Pelodiscus sinensis: one gene and its partner. The protein of the gene in region 1 purifies or fractionates together with the protein of each later gene. This does not show direct contact. Links are inferred from orthologs where the notes say so. Each region holds a gene or a part of one and is shown on either strand. Other genes may lie near its edges.

Evidence for each region. Proteins that work in one complex are often made in the same cells at the same time.
Region 2: the proteins of CCDC68 (region 1) and CEP170 purify together in Homo sapiens (co-immunoprecipitation; 3 studies listed by BioGRID and IntAct, counting the BioPlex papers as one, with this or other methods). This does not show direct contact. The link is inferred for Pelodiscus sinensis from reciprocal best matches to the Homo sapiens genes CCDC68 and CEP170.

The regions. Positions count from the first base shown.
Region 1 is NC_134716.1:112,343,801-112,351,824, reverse strand, and holds the start of CCDC68 (coiled-coil domain-containing protein 68), read right to left. Parts: upstream 3,033-8,024; 5' UTR 3,013-3,032; coding exon 2,891-3,012; intron 2,860-2,890; exon of another isoform or gene 2,704-2,859; intron 1-2,703. UniProt on the Homo sapiens protein: Centriolar protein required for centriole subdistal appendage assembly and microtubule anchoring in interphase cells. Together with CCDC120, cooperate with subdistal appendage components ODF2, NIN and CEP170 for hierarchical subdistal appendage assembly.
Region 2 is NC_134713.1:131,575,479-131,582,536, forward strand, and holds the start of CEP170 (centrosomal protein of 170 kDa), read right to left. Parts: upstream 3,043-7,058; 5' UTR 2,903-3,042; intron 588-2,902; coding exon of another isoform or gene 533-587; exon of another isoform or gene 453-532; intron 341-452; exon of another isoform or gene 237-340; intron 187-236; exon of another isoform or gene 36-186; intron 1-35. Other genes in the region: SDCCAG8 (serologically defined colon cancer antigen 8), read left to right, coding at 533-587.

The DNA of each region.
Region 1 (8,024 bases):
CGCGATTAAAATAATCACGGCTTCATTTAAATTTAAATGGCTGCCCCGCTCTGCCGATCAGCTGTTTGTCGGCAGATCGGGGCAGTCTGGACGCGACGCGCCGACAAAGAAGCCTTTCTTGATTGGCACAGGTAAACCTGGTTTCACGAGGCATACCTGTGCCGATCAAGAAAGGCTTCTTTGTCGGCGCGTCGCGTCCAGACTGCCCCGATCTGCCGACAAACAGCCGATCGGCAGAGCGGGGCAGCCATTTAAATTTAAATGAAGCCGCGATTATTTTAATCGCGGCTTCATTTCCCTCTGCCGATCTGGCTAATCTACATGCCTCCGTCGACGGAGGCATGTAGTCTAGACACACCCAAAGAGTCCAAAGCACCATTCGCCCTATAAGCATGACAATGAGCTATAAACAGCTTTTCAGAATAGGTCCCACTGAAGTTTACCTATTTTGCTTCATAGTTTGATTATCCTTTTCACATTCTGCTATTAACTGCTTATTGAAATCTCTCTTACATGACTAGCTTTAGAGTCTAGGGGCTGTCTGCTTTGTAGTTATTTTAAATGGCAGCAATGAATTTGATTATCCAAATTGGATCATTCAGAGTTAATCTTTAGACAACCAGCATGACACAGACACTTTTTCCCCTTGGTTGTAAACTTTTTTTCAGTACAGAATACATCTCAATGCTACAGGTTAGAATTGGGTGATAACTGCAACACAGTTCTCAAACATTCATTTCAACTATGAGTAGCTATTTAAGTCAATTATATCCAGTATACATTTAATTGCCTTTTAATTGTGATTCATTAACATCTTCAGAAAGTTTATAGGGGTATTTTGTTCTCATGAATGTTTCAGCAAGTTTGTTTGAATCCTGTATTTACATGTGAACACTGCTATTTGTGCTCCTGTTTTTACATGTGACAGAGGCAGCAAGGGGAGTGGGAAGTGACTAGAGCTTATGCTTATCGGATAGTCAACTAGTCGCTTACATCCCTAATACAAATATTTACTCTGTCTTTGCGTGCAATAAGGATGTTTATAGTCACAGAGAGCAAAGTTCCTCATATCAAAAGGCAATTATCTGTCTTACCTGTAACTACAAGAAATGACACAGTAACAAGCTCTGAAATAAATCTTTATATTAAGTAAAGATTATGAAAAAAGCTAAAATAACAGTTATGGCTGAGATGTTTATTTCAGATTTTTTGAAGTTATCAGTTTAGTTCCTTCAGTAGAAATAACTTGAATGAGGCATTTACTTTTACTGTTAAGCACACGTGGTATTTTCCCCTACAGGGTTCTAAGTGCCTGAAAATAAAGAATTATAATAAAAGTATCATCAGCCCTAGATACAGCAGCAAAACATAATTATAACTGTCAAGGTTCCTCTCACTCTCCAGAGCTTGTAAATGTCCTGGACATCACCACTGATGGACTTGGCTCACAATTGCATGAGGCTCCTCTGACTTTTATCTCTATTGAGATTGTTGGAGAGAAGATACACAGCTGAATTAGGCTCTGATACGGTAAAGCTTTATGCACATACTTAGGTTTACATACTCTGAATAATGCCACTGACATCTATGAGTAAAGCTAAGCACATATGTAAATCTTTGCAGGACTGATGCCCTAGTTTGTACATCTCAGTAATCCTCATGCTAAGGAAATCACCATTAGGCAACACTTCATTGCTAGAGATGCACTGCAAACATAGTGGGTGTGTCTAGACTGGCAAGATTTTGCGCAAAAACTTGCCAGCTGTCTACACTGGCCGCTTGAATTTGCGCAAGAGCACTGACTTTGTAATGTACAAATCTGAGCTGTCTGCACTGGCCCTTTTGCGTAAAAGGGACTTTTGCCTGAATGGGAGCAGAGTAGTATTTCCGCAAGTAGCACTGATTTCTTACAGTAGGAAGTCAGTGCTTTTGCGGAAATTCAAGCGGCCAGTGTAGACAACTGGCAAGTTTTTCCGGAAAAGCAGCTGATTTTCTGGAAAAACTGGCCAGTCTAGACACAGCCTAAGCCTATATCTCCACCACAGTGTTATTTCAGAATACACTACAAGCCTTTATTTCAAAATAATGTCAAACTGGGCGACTTCTTACCCTGACTCCTGTGACTCATTTCACAGGAGTGTAAGGGAAGTTGACTTCCTGCTGTATAGACGGTGCCTAAGGCCGAGTTAAGCTTTTTCGGACTTCAGCCACACAGTTGACGTGGCTGAAGTTGCCTAGCTTAATTCGACTTTAGCGCTGCTGCGTGGAGGGGAAAAAATCAAACACTCCTCGCTCTCCGTCTCCACCACCAAGAGCTGCTAAATCTCCCAACAGAGCCATGCTGGTAACCAGTCTCACCCACTGCAAGTCTCCCCTGTAAGCACCCGCAGCATCCCTGCCAAGGAGTGGGCAGACCCTTTTCCTTTCTGACACTTGTGCTAGTCGCTGGCATCCACGCCAGAGGCTTCGCATCCCACGGGAGGGGAAGGGAAGTCAGCCTCCACCCTGGAGAGCCGGCATAAACATCAGCAGCTCCCACACCTGCGCACTGAAGGCCTCCAGGGATCAGTCCCGGGACTGGGAGAGGCAGCTGCTGCCTTTTGACCTGGGGCAGGAAGGGGCGAGCAGCCCCCGTGCAGGGGAACAAGTCGCCCTGAAATGCCCCTGTCTGCTCCCCAGCTGGCTGAGCGCGCGGCTCCTTACCCGCTCAGCCGCCGGCTCCCCTCGGCTCGGGGCAGGCGCTCTCCGCTCCCTTGCTCCTCTCCGGGCACTGAAGTCCGGGCAGGATGCAGCCCGGAGCTGGCCCCTCCCTGCTCCCCGCCCTCGCTGCGCGAAGCTGGGAGCAGGCGTACAGCGCCCCGCGGGGCTGATCGCACCGAGACCTTCTTACCTTACTTCCGCCGCTTCTCCCGGGGTCAGAACTTCCCATTCCCCCCAAACCTTTGGGGAACGCTTGGGTGCGCTCCGATTCCATAAATTTCCCCTTCTCCCCACTCCCAAGGCTCCTGCCATCCCAATGCTGCAGGCAAGTCTGAGGAATTTCAGAGCGCCTCTTCCCAGGCGATAGAGAAGCTCGCACCCAGCAATAAGATCCTATAAACTGCTCCTCTGCGTTTCTCTCTCTCTCTCAGATCCTCCCAATGTGCCCTTAACTCGTGCCTATGGGAGACTGCTCACGACGGGTGCTCTGGCCTCAATTCCTTCAGGAATGTAGAGCCAGACGCTCCTGTAAGGTATTTACACTCCAATTTTCCATTGATCGCAAATACCTGTGAGGGTGTGGGCCTTAAAAGACCCAGAAGGGATAAAAATGAAAGGAATAGTGAGAAGAGAAAATGAGCCAGACAAGATAGTAGGTAAAAATAGGAGGGAGGAGAAAGGCTTGGTCAGAGAAACATCTTGAAGAAGCAGGGGTGCAGAGAGAAACGTTAAAATTGAAATGAGGCTGGGAAAGTTGGACAGACATACTTTAAGAGAAACAGGGATGTAAAATAATGCTGTATAGATGGGAGGCAAAATGGAGACTGGGAAGAAGAAAATAAGAGAAGGGCTGTGTCTAGACTGGCCAGTTTTTCCAGAAAATCAGCCGCTTTTCCTGAAAAACTTGCCAGCTGTCTACACTGGCCGCTTGAATTTCTGCAAAAGCACTGACCATCTCATGTAAGATTGTCAGTGTTTTTGCGGAAATACTATGCTTCTCCCGTTCGGGCAAAAGTCCTTTTGCACAAAACTTTTGCGCAAAAGGGCCAGTGTAGACAGTTCAGATTCGTTTTCCGCAAAAAAGCCCCGATCGTGAAAATGGTGATTGGGGCTTTTTTGCGGAAAAGAGCGTCTAGATTGGCAAGGACGCTTTTCTGCAAAAAGTGCTTTTGCGGAAAAGCGTCCGTGCCAATCTAGACACTCTGTTCCGAAAATGCTTTTAACAGAAAACTTTTCCGTTAAAAACATTTCCGGAAAATCATGCCAGTCTAGACATAGCCAAGTTGTTTAATGGCCTCTTTTCATGGGTGCCGGAAGTAGGGAAGTGGGGGGGTAGGGGGGGAAGGTGCTGCAGCGTGCCATGTTTTGAAATTATTTCTATCATAGGCAGGGTTTACAGTTTTGTTCCATGGCTTTCAGCCTCAGCAACCCCACTGTACAAATTGTTTCAGCACAACTGCATCTTTGAATCTGTCAGAATTCTACTTTTTTTTCTAGCACATGCAACAAAATCTGCGATTTCCAGCTTAAATGCTATATAAGAGCCCATCAGTTGCACACCACCTGTGATTTTACTCAAATGGTCCCAGTAAAATGGAGCATGTCTGTATCTGTTTGCATGATCAAAACCCCAGTGATTAGAATCATTCATGTTGCTAATAATGCCAGTACTGGGTAAAGATGTATTTTTAAACAGGAAGCAGGGAGCTGCCTTCCTGATAGAAATTTATGATGGTTGTAACATACTTTTGTTTTTAACAGGTGTATGAGTGGATATAAAAGGCTTGTCTGACTAATTTTTAATAAAAACATGTCTTGGATATGTGCCCTCTTTCTTTACGCAGTTGTGGTTTGGTTTTTTCTTTTGTAGCTTTCGGTCTGCACCACTCCCTTCTCTCCTCCTAGGCACAGAGGCTGAGTTCCACCACAGAGAGAAACCGTGCCCAGTTCCCTTTTGTGTTTGGCATGTAAATACAGGAAAGGCAGGGCAGTTTCAAAGTCTATTGTCACTGAGTTAACCAGGTGAGAGTGTAACAGCAGTGAGAAAAACCACTGGTTTTTAAATATTCAACTCTTCCCCTTTCCAAGATTATCTATTGGCAAATATAATGGTGGGCAGGGCGATTTATTTTTCACTAACAGCAATCCTACAGCTCTGGAGTGACAAATAGTCTTATTTTGTTAACATTGCTTTGTCAAGCATATATAAATAATTGAAGAAGAATAATCAAGATGCAGTGCATTTCTAGGGAATGTATTTAAAATATTTTTACCCCAAATCTATATTTAAAATATTTGAGGTGGCTGACAAAATTTTAAAAACACAATATATATATATATATACAGGCAGTCCCCGAGTTACGCGGATCCGACTTATGTCGGATCCACAGTTACGAACGGGGCCGTTCCTCTCCCTTGTCTCCAGCAGACCAGGGAGAGGAAGCAAAGCGGCGGAACACGTGGGCAGCGGACAGGGCTGTCCGCTGCCCACGCGCTCCGAGGCTTGCTCTGCTTTGCCCCCCCCCCCGTCCCCCTGGTCTGCAGACCAGGGGGACGGGGGATGGGGCAAAGCAGAGCCAAGCTGCGGAGCGCCCGGCCAGCTGACAGCCCAGACGAGTCTGGGCTGTCAGCTGATCGCGCGCTCCGCGGCTTGGCTCTGCTTGGCTCTGCTTTGCCCCCCCCCCCGTCCCCCTGGTCTGCAGACCAGGGGCACGGGGGGGGGGGGTAAAGCAGAGCCAAGCCGCGGAGCGCGCGGTCAGCTGACAGCTGTCAGCTGGCCGCGTCCTCCGCGGCTTGGCTCTGCTTTGCCCCCCCCATCCCCCTGGTCTGCAGACCAGGGGGACGGGGGGGCAAAGCAGAGCAAAGCGGCGCTGCCCGCGTGTTCCGCCGCTTTGCTCCCCGTCCCCCTGGTCCGCAGACCAGGGGGATGGGGAGCAAAGCAGAGCAAAGCCACGGAGCCCGAGGGCAGCAGGACAGCCACGGCGCGTCTGGGCTGTCCCGCTGCCCCCGTGCTCCATGGCTTTGCTCCGGACACCTGTGGTACAGCAGCTGGGGCGCTGCCAGTTGGTCCCGTAGCGCCGCTCTGGGCGCTACTGGACCAACCAGGCAGCACCCCAGCTGTTCTGCCCCAGGCGTCCTGATTCAGCCACTGCTGGTCAGATTCAGCAGCGGCTGAATCAGGACGCCTGGGGCAGAGCAGCTTGTGTGCTGCTGGGTTGGTCCAGTAGCGCCGAGGAGCGGCGGAGCTACTGGACCAACCCAGCAGCACCCTAGCTGCTCTGCCCCAGGCGTCCCCAAGTCAGCCGCTGCTGAAACTGACCAGTGGCTGACTACAGGAAGCCCCTGCCCCGGGCTTCCTGGAATCAGCCGCTGATCAGTTTCAGCAGCAGCTGGCTTGGGGATGCCTGGGGTTCTTAAGTTGAATCTGTATGTAAGTCAGAACTGGCGTCCAGATTCAGCCGCTGTTGAAACTGATCAGTTTCAGCAGCGGCTGAATCTGGAAGCCAGTTCCGACTTACATACAGATTCAACTTAAGAACAAACCTACAGTCCCTATCTTGTACGTAACCCGGGGACTGCCTGTATATATATATATATATATATATATATATATATATATATATATATATATATATACAAGTAAAATACAAGACCCTAGGGGGGGCATAATTAATAACCATCTTAGATGAAAGTGATGGCTCCAGTGTGCCCATGCGAAAAATCATTAACTCCAGTTGTCATAACTACTTCATTGCTGCCTAATATGTTAGTGAGTTGGGGCAAAATGTGATTCTATGTCCCTTTAAAGTGGTACTTAAGACTGTGACAGTTTAGTTGCATTCCACTGCAAGGAGGTCTTGCAGTGACATGAGATTAGTACTGTGTGTCTTGCTGTAGCTGAGTGCTGGGATAGGGGAAGGAGTCCAAATCTCTTTTATTGGTAGAGGTGGTTTTAATTGATCTTTATGGGGATTTTTTTTTATTGCGTGGGCCCCAGCCCTCCAGTGTGCTCCACGTAGCATAAGACCCTACCCACACACAGCTCTCGTTGCAGCATTGGCACTTGAGATTTTAAGTAACTTTCAAAGAGTTGTGTTTCAGTCTAAGCCAAGAGTGTGCATGAATACACACACCGGAAATTGTAGGATTTAATGTCTTACACATCATCCAGTCAGATGGCTTCAGTCATTTTTCCACACTCCATTTAGCTAAGAATGGGATATCTAACCAAACAGCAAAGAGGCTCTAGCATAATATTTGAAATATTTTGTGAGGATTTCTGCCTTAGGTATAATTGGATCAGTCTAGAATTGGAGGACTGTGGTAGGATCATCTAATGAATCAATATCTTAAGTCTCGAGGACTCCCACAATTTTTGAACATGACTCTTCTTAAAAGACAGCTCCTTTAAACACAAAAATATCCAGAGCAATCTTTTGTGTCCCATGTGCAGCTACTTTGGAACACATATTTCAACAGAAGCTGTAATGTAATAACTACAGCTCACACAACAAACAAGAGGCAAACACAGGAGGACTGTGAAATTCTCTAAATTAGGCTAAGAGCTCAAACTCATCTAGTGATCTTCTAGTCTGATCTCCTGAATAACAGAGGTTATAGAACTTCCCAAAAATAATTCTCAGAGCATATCTTTTAGAAAAGCAGCCAATCTGGATTTGAAAATTGTCAGTGGTGTAGAATCCACCATGGCCCATGGTAAATTGTTTCAATTATTAATTACTTTTACCACTAAAAATGTATGAAATTCCAAATTCAGGCCTCAATTTGTCTAGCTTCAACTTCCAGCCATTGGATTGTGTTATACTTTTCTCTTTTAAATTAGTGAATCCATTATTAAATATTTGTTTCCCATGTAGCTGTTTTTAGAATGAAATCAAGTCATTCCTAAACTGTCTCTTTGTTAAGGTAAATATATTGAGTTTCTTCAGTCTGTCATCATAAGGCTCATTTTCTAATACTCTAAGGTTTCAACCTTGTGTTGCTTTTTAAATCTAGCTGTCCAAAACATTCATTTCCATCTATATAAGCTATAAAATATCAGTCAAGCCCATAAATCCATTAAAAGAGGATTGAGAAATTTATATTTTGGACTGTGGCCTTCCCATCCCTTTTTATTCTACACTATTTTGATTTATTTTGCATTTTGCACAATGGACCCCAAAGAGACTTCGACTTAATTCAGTAAGATTTTACAAGGAACTTACTATATTCTTACTATATTCTCTTGCAATTAGTAACTAACATCCTCTTAAAAAAATCATATGCAAGTTACTAGAGCAATTTATAGAAATGCAAGTGAATTA
Region 2 (7,058 bases), on another chromosome or scaffold:
AGAAAGCTGCGCTCTAGCAGCACAGTGCGCAGGTGCGATCTGACCGCATACAAAGGGAAAGAGACCGAGGCCGCAACAACTCTTCTAAAGTGGGGGAGGACGTTGCTCGTAGGGACTTCAACTCCCGAGGGCCCAGAGAAGGACGCGCGCTGCATGCTGGGAGACGTAGTCTGAGACCGCTGCAACGTGAGTACGAGACGTATTAAAGGGCGGAGCTCTGAAAGGGAGTAACTCACCTCAGCTGGGGGCCGACGGGACCGTTTTCCTAGTTGGTTAGCAACGAGCTCCCACACGGGTTGAGGTTAGAAGGGGCGGTGGGTGCCGCAAAGCCGTGTGGGAATCGTAGTTCCGCTAAGAGCTGCCGCCCGCTGTGGGGGATGGGACGGCGAACGACACGGAACTACGGCTCCCGAGCGCTGTTGGAAGCGGCGAAGCCGGGAGGGAAAGGCTGGGTCCTCACACGCTGACTCGGGACAGGGAAGCGGAGCCCGTGCGGTGTCGCCTGGCGCTGAGAGACGCGGACCTTGTCCGTATGCGGGAAGCCCGGGAAGAGTCCGACCTGGAGCGGTATCAGAAAAGCCTGCGAGGTGAGCGGGATCCCCGTCCCAGCGCCGCCTGCCCCCTTCTTCTGGCAGTGCCAGCTCCCCGCGAGCTGAGTGGTTTCTCGCCGTGCCCACTGTCCCCCACTACTGGCTGCCCCAGCTCCTCTCGCCGCACGGCCCGCCTGGCTGCTGGCACCGTGGCCACTAGTGTGCGTGCGACCCCTTTTCTTGCCGCTGCCCCACCGCCACAATTGGCTACGTGGCTTCTTTGCCTGAGGCTGCGCCGTTTTCTCCACCTCTCTGCTCACCACGTCTGCTAAAAATTGAACTGGAGAAGGGTAGACTGGTGCCGACACCCCTTTATACTGTTCTAACCATCCCAGCCTGTTGAGCCAAGTGAACCAGATTATGATCTCCCCGGTGACTGAACCCGTTGCTGTCAGAACTCTACCCACCCTGTGCCCCTAGCACCAAACTTCCACCCCGGTCCCCCTTACTCTCTAATTTTGGCAAAGAGAGCTCTAAATCAGCTGTTTACCTGACAGCTTCTCCCCTGGAGGGGGGAAGAGGAGAGAGAATGAAGGGAAGGGAACCTAGAGGGGCAGGAAGAGGGTATGTGGGGGCTCCCCATGTAGCCTTGCCCCATGTAGCCATTACAATTTTGGCTGGGAACATGGGGGGGGGGGGGTAGTGCATCTTCAGAGCACTACCTGTGGCTTTTCCTTTTCCCTTCCCTCCCTCCCCCCCCACTATAGAAGCTCTAGTAGCACCAAACCCCAGACCAAAGTCATAGTTGACAGTAAATTCACCAGTGCATTTGCTCTCACTTGCTAAGGAGCCTTGACAACCTGAGCATCTGCACTGTATGAGGCACAGAGTCACTGCAATATGACCCAGCTGTAGCCGAGGACCCCATTTTAATAGGGTCTCCATGCTGGCATTCAACATGTTGGGACTCAGGGCCGAAGCTAAGCCTGAGCCCCCTGCCCAGAGCTGAAACTTTTGGAGAAGCCCCTGTCCGTGGCAGTCCCCCCACAACCACAGTGGGTCCGGAGCAGCCCACTATTCCAGCCCCACCAGTTAACTGGTTAAGCCTAGACATGTCAATGAGTAGTTGACTATAGAATTAATTGATAAGCCTAGGCTTTTCAGTTCATCTTGACTACTCACATTCTCTCCCTCCCCCACTGCCTCTATCACAGGCAGCTGGGGTGGAGAGCTAGCTTGAAAGCCAGTCCCACCCTCCAGCACCAGCTCTGCGATGCCACCTTCCCCTTACCACTCCCCCTCCCCCATGTGCTGCTGCCTGAGACACAGCGGCATAAGGGAATAGGGGAGGCTGCTGTGAAGGAGCCCCTGTCCACAGGGGGATGGAGGCTGCTCTGCGTTCCGCGAAGCAGCTTCTGTCTGCAGCGGCCCAAGGTGGCTGTGGACAGAGGCTGCTTTATGGCAGCAGCCCACGTCCACAGGGAGCTTGGAAAGGGGCTGCTGCTGGACCAGCCTCTGGCCAGCTGACTGCCACAGACAAGTTGCTTCATGGTAGCCTCCTTTTCAGTTCCTAGCCTCTCTTCTCCCCCTCCCCCCTGCAGCAGCCTCTGTCCACTGAGAGGTTGGACCCCCGAAGTCAGGGACTACTGCTGTGTTATCCTATGCTACTGCCTTTGATACGGAGGCAGCAGCGCATGGTGGCAGGGGGCTCCCAGGAGCCACCCCTCAGGACTATAGAATAGATCTAACCAAAAAGTTTATGTTGTTACACAGCTATTCAATTACCCAATATCTAACCTCCCTTGTTAAACCTTCACATAACCCAGCTTGTGAGCTGTGACTGAGCCAGGCTGCCTGCCTGCCAGCCCAGCGCCTAATACATTTTAAACACAGAGTTGCAGTGAGGTAGGTCCCAGACACTGCAAGCTGGGACTGAGCACGGCTGCTGGCTAGCCCACTAAAAAAAAAAAAAAAAAGTACTGGCAGAAGGGGGAGGTAGGGGAAGTGCATGTAATCCATAGCATTAACCAATGAGCTTTTGCTTATCGGTTAATTACACCATTACTTCCCTAGTCGCACTTTTTTGGGCCTACCTGCTGGAACCCACAGCATCTCCTCTTGATATGCGTGGTAGGCATGGATCCTCAAGTTGGTAGGGAAAATAAGGAGAGAATGTGGAAACGGTTTGTGGTCCCACCCATGGATTTAAGGCGCTCACTCAGGAGAGGCTGGCACTTGCCCCAGCAGCAGCAACTAGGGTCTGGTGGTGCTGAAACGAACCCTGTGGTAGGGTCAGTCCTACTTCGGGCTCCCAGGCCCCTGTTCTGCCCATTATCCTACAGTTTAGTGGACATGGTACAAGTCCCACTTGCCTTTTCTGAGCATTTGGCCTTCTGTCCTTTGGCAAAACAAAGGGGTGTTGAGGCCGATGCCCTCAGCCAGTCAGGCTGAGTAAACAGTCCTCCTCAGCCACCAACTGAAGTTTCTGGCCATCTAGAAGGAAGGAAGCTTCCAAACACTCCCTGTTGGAGCCTGCCACCTCCTCCTGCAGCCCTTAGCAGTGTTGATGGTGTTCTGCTCAGCTCCTCTGATTTGCCTATCAGCTGTTAGCTCCTTTCCACCTCCACTCTCCAAACTTTTTCTCCACTCTCTTCCACCCTCCCTCACAGGAAAGGTTTTTAAAGAGGTCCTGTGGCAGCCTGAAATCAGTTCACCTGCCCCTTAATTGATTTAGAGCAGCCCTGTCTCAGCTGCCCCTGATTATCCAGGGCTGTTGCTTATTTCCCCCCCCCCCAGCTGCCTCTCCCCCCTTCCATCAAGCCCTTGTACAAACATAGGCAGCAGCATGGGGTGGCAGCCCAGGGAGTGGGGCTAGAACACACTGGCTGCTGGCACTGCCCCTGGAACTATAGGATAGTTGACTAAGACTTCATGGGGTTAGTCAACTATTCTGTTACCTGCTATCTAACATCCCTGGTACTGGGCCCTCTTTCTCCACTGTATGAATGTGCTTGTACTGGTAAAGCTTACTGCCATATGGGAAGGCAATTAAGCTAAAATGGTATAAGGTACAGTAAAACTCCAGGGCTACGTCTACACTGGCCCCTTTTCCGGAAGGGGCATGTTAATTTCAGCTGTCGTAATAGGGAAATCCGCGGGGGATTTAAATATCCCCCGTGGCATTTAAATAAAAATGTCCGCCGCTTTTTTCCGGCTTTTAGAAAAGCCGGAAAAGAGCGTTTACACTGGCCCCGATCCTCCGGAAAAAAAGCCCTTTTCCGGAGGATCTTATTCCTACTTTGAAGTAGGAATAAGATCCTCCGGAAAAGGGCGCTTTTTCCGGAGGATCGGGGCCAGTGTAGACGCTCTTTTCCGGCTTTTCTAAAAGCCGGAAAAAAGCGGCGGACATTTTTATTTAAATGCCACGGGGGATATTTAAATCCCCCGCGCATTTCCCTATTGCGATTTCAAAAATTACCATGTCCCTTCTGGAAAAGGGGCCAATGTAGACATAGCCCAGGGCTGTGTCTAGACTGGCAAGTTTTTCCGGAAAATCAGCAGCTTTTCCGGAAAAACTTGCCAGCTGTCTACACTGGCCGCTTGAATTTCTGGAAAAGCACTGACGATCTCATGTAAGATCGTCAGTGCTTTCCCGGAAATACTATGCTGCTCCCGTTCGGGCAAAAGTCTTTTTCCGAAAGACTTTTGCGCAAAAGGGCCAGTGTAGACAGCACAGTACTGTTTTCCGCAAAAAAGCCCCGATCGCGAAAATGGCGATCGGGGCTTTTTTGCGGAAAAGCGCGTCTAGATTGGCCACGGATGCTTTTCCGCAAAAAGTGGCAGGATGCTTTTCTGCGAAAGCAATCTAGATGCACTTTTCCAAAAATGCTTTTAACGGAAAACTTTTCCGTTAAAAGCATTTTTGGAAAATCATGGCAGTGTAGACTTAGTCCGGCATCGCATTGTATGGCGCTCCCGATAGTCTTACATCAAAATGAGAAGAGCCTAGTGAGTGATCTTCGGCAAAAAACAAGTCACAAGGCAGCAGCGGCAGCAGCTGAACCGAGCAAAACCGGACGGGACTGAATCAGTCTGCCACTGGTATTGTGTGATGCTGAACAGTGCTTGTGCTACAATAAAAAGGGTTAAAAACACTTTATATACAGTATATACTGTGTGTATATATATAACCATCTTATAGTACCTCCTGAGAGTCCGGGATATCTGATAATCCGGCACCACCTAGGTCCCAAAGGTTCCGGATTATCGGAAGTCTACTATATCTTGATATAGATTGGACTTCACTGGTCTGGCACCCTCGGGACTTGACTGGCCCCAAGCAAGGGGATTTGATGGAACAGAGAATATCACCCCCCTCATGGCCTGTGTTGCCACTGGGCTAGGTGCTACCCCACCCTGGAACTCTCTAGATGACAGGGGGTGAGGTGCTGGAGTTATTTTTTCATACTAGCATTTAAAATGAGGAATGTTGAAATCAAAAGAAAATGATCTGTTTGATGCAGCATTTAAACTTGAATTTGTTGAATATGCAAAGGAAACAATAATTGTGCTGCTATTCAAAAATTCTGCATCAATGAGAAGCAGGTAGGAGAATGGTGAAAAAATAAAGCAACACTAAAAAACATACCAAGAAGCAAGAAAAAATGTCCAACAAGGTTTGCTTCATTTCTTGGGCTGGAAAAGTCGCAACGATTGGGTTGTTGAATGATGACAAAATGCGTACCTTGTCACTAGAACTGGAATTTGTCTGTGTGCTCTCCAAATGTCAAAAGATGACACACGAGTCAGAAAAGCCATAGGTGTTTGTCACATCAACAGTTTGGCATACTAGCTTCGTGAACTGTCAAGGTCTCTATCTTCAGCAATAAACAAAGATAGCACAAAAGCTGCTGAGAGACCAGGAAGAAAAAAATTGAATCTTTCCGAAGATTTATTATAAAATATCAAAAGGAATATGAATCGGAGTTGTCACAAATAGGAAATATGGATGAAACATTGATGACATTTGATCTTCTGAGCAAAAGAAGAGTAACTAGTGTTGGTGAAAAAACAGTCTTAATTAAAACCACTGGCCATGAAAAATAATCCATTTTTACAGTAGTTTTATCATATATGGCCAATGGATTAAGGCTCTATTCTGTTTCTTGAAAAGAAAAACCTTGTCCAAAACGATGACATTTCATGGGGGTATCCTCATATGTGCACATGTGAAGGGATGGATGGATGAAAGTGGTACTATTGACTGTTTGGAAAAAGTGTTCAGTGATGAGAAACATTTCTCTAGAAACCTTCTATGCTTGTATGGGACATGTTCAGGGCACATAGGTTGGATAAGGTGAAGCATGTGACCAAAAAAATGAAAATTACTTGAACTGTAATACCTGCAGGTCTAACTTCTGTTCTACAATCCCTTAATGTCTGCCTGAACAATCCCTTTAAAGACCGGCTATGCAAAATGTGATCTGACTGGATGTGGTCAGGCATGGTGAAATTGACAAAAGGCGGAAATCTTATCTAGCCCAAAATTAATCTGGTTGCCCAGTGGTCAAGGATGCGTGGGAGTCCATTCTCTTAGAAATTATAGAAAAATCATTTTGGAAACGCTGCATCAGCCATATGCTTGATGGGTCAGAAGACAGTACCACATTCGCTCGTGACACAATGGAGGCTGATAAGCAATCAGGATGACATTGCTGATGACAATGCAGGAGCAGCTATGACTGAAGCTGAGTTTAATGAACTGTTTGGTAAATTGGAGACTGATTCAGAGTTTGAAAGGTTTTACAACTTTAAATGCATTAGAATATGAGATTTTAAAACATTTCTTCGAAATTAGTCCATATGAGTTCATATATGTTCAATTATTATACTTTTTTTGGTTAGATGCATTAAAATAAAAGTTCTAAAACTTATGTTTCGATTCTGACTTTTAAAATACAGGAGAAGAGGTCAGTTCCCAGCCCAGCAGGGCAAACTGTTGGCCTGTTGAGACATTTGTGTACTTGGAGCATCTGCAGGCATGGAACCTCTCAGCTCCCATTGGTTGCTGTTTGCCATTCACAGCCAATGGGTACTGCAGGAAGCAGTGTGGGCCAAGGAATGGTCTGGCAGTCATTCCCGTTGACCCAGAACAGCTAACAGCCAGAGGGAGCTGAGGAGCTCTGTTCCTGCAGATGCTCCAGGTATGTAAAACATGCTAGCGTGCCAGTGGCTTGCCCTGTTGGGCTGGAAACTGAGGTTTGCCAATCCCTCCCCCCAGTTAAAAAAAATAAAATAAAATAAAGTAGTAGCACAGATGACCCACCGCTCTTTATGGTGTGATTTTTTTTTTAACAAAAAAAATTGACTTATGATCGAGTACATAGGGTACATTATACATTTTCACCTCCTATGAAGTGTTTTTATTCTAATTTCTTTCTGATTCATTTTTAAATTTTACTTGTTTCCATCTTTTGATTTGGGGATGTAAAATCCCATTTATTTATCTGCTTAAATGTTATGTTTAAC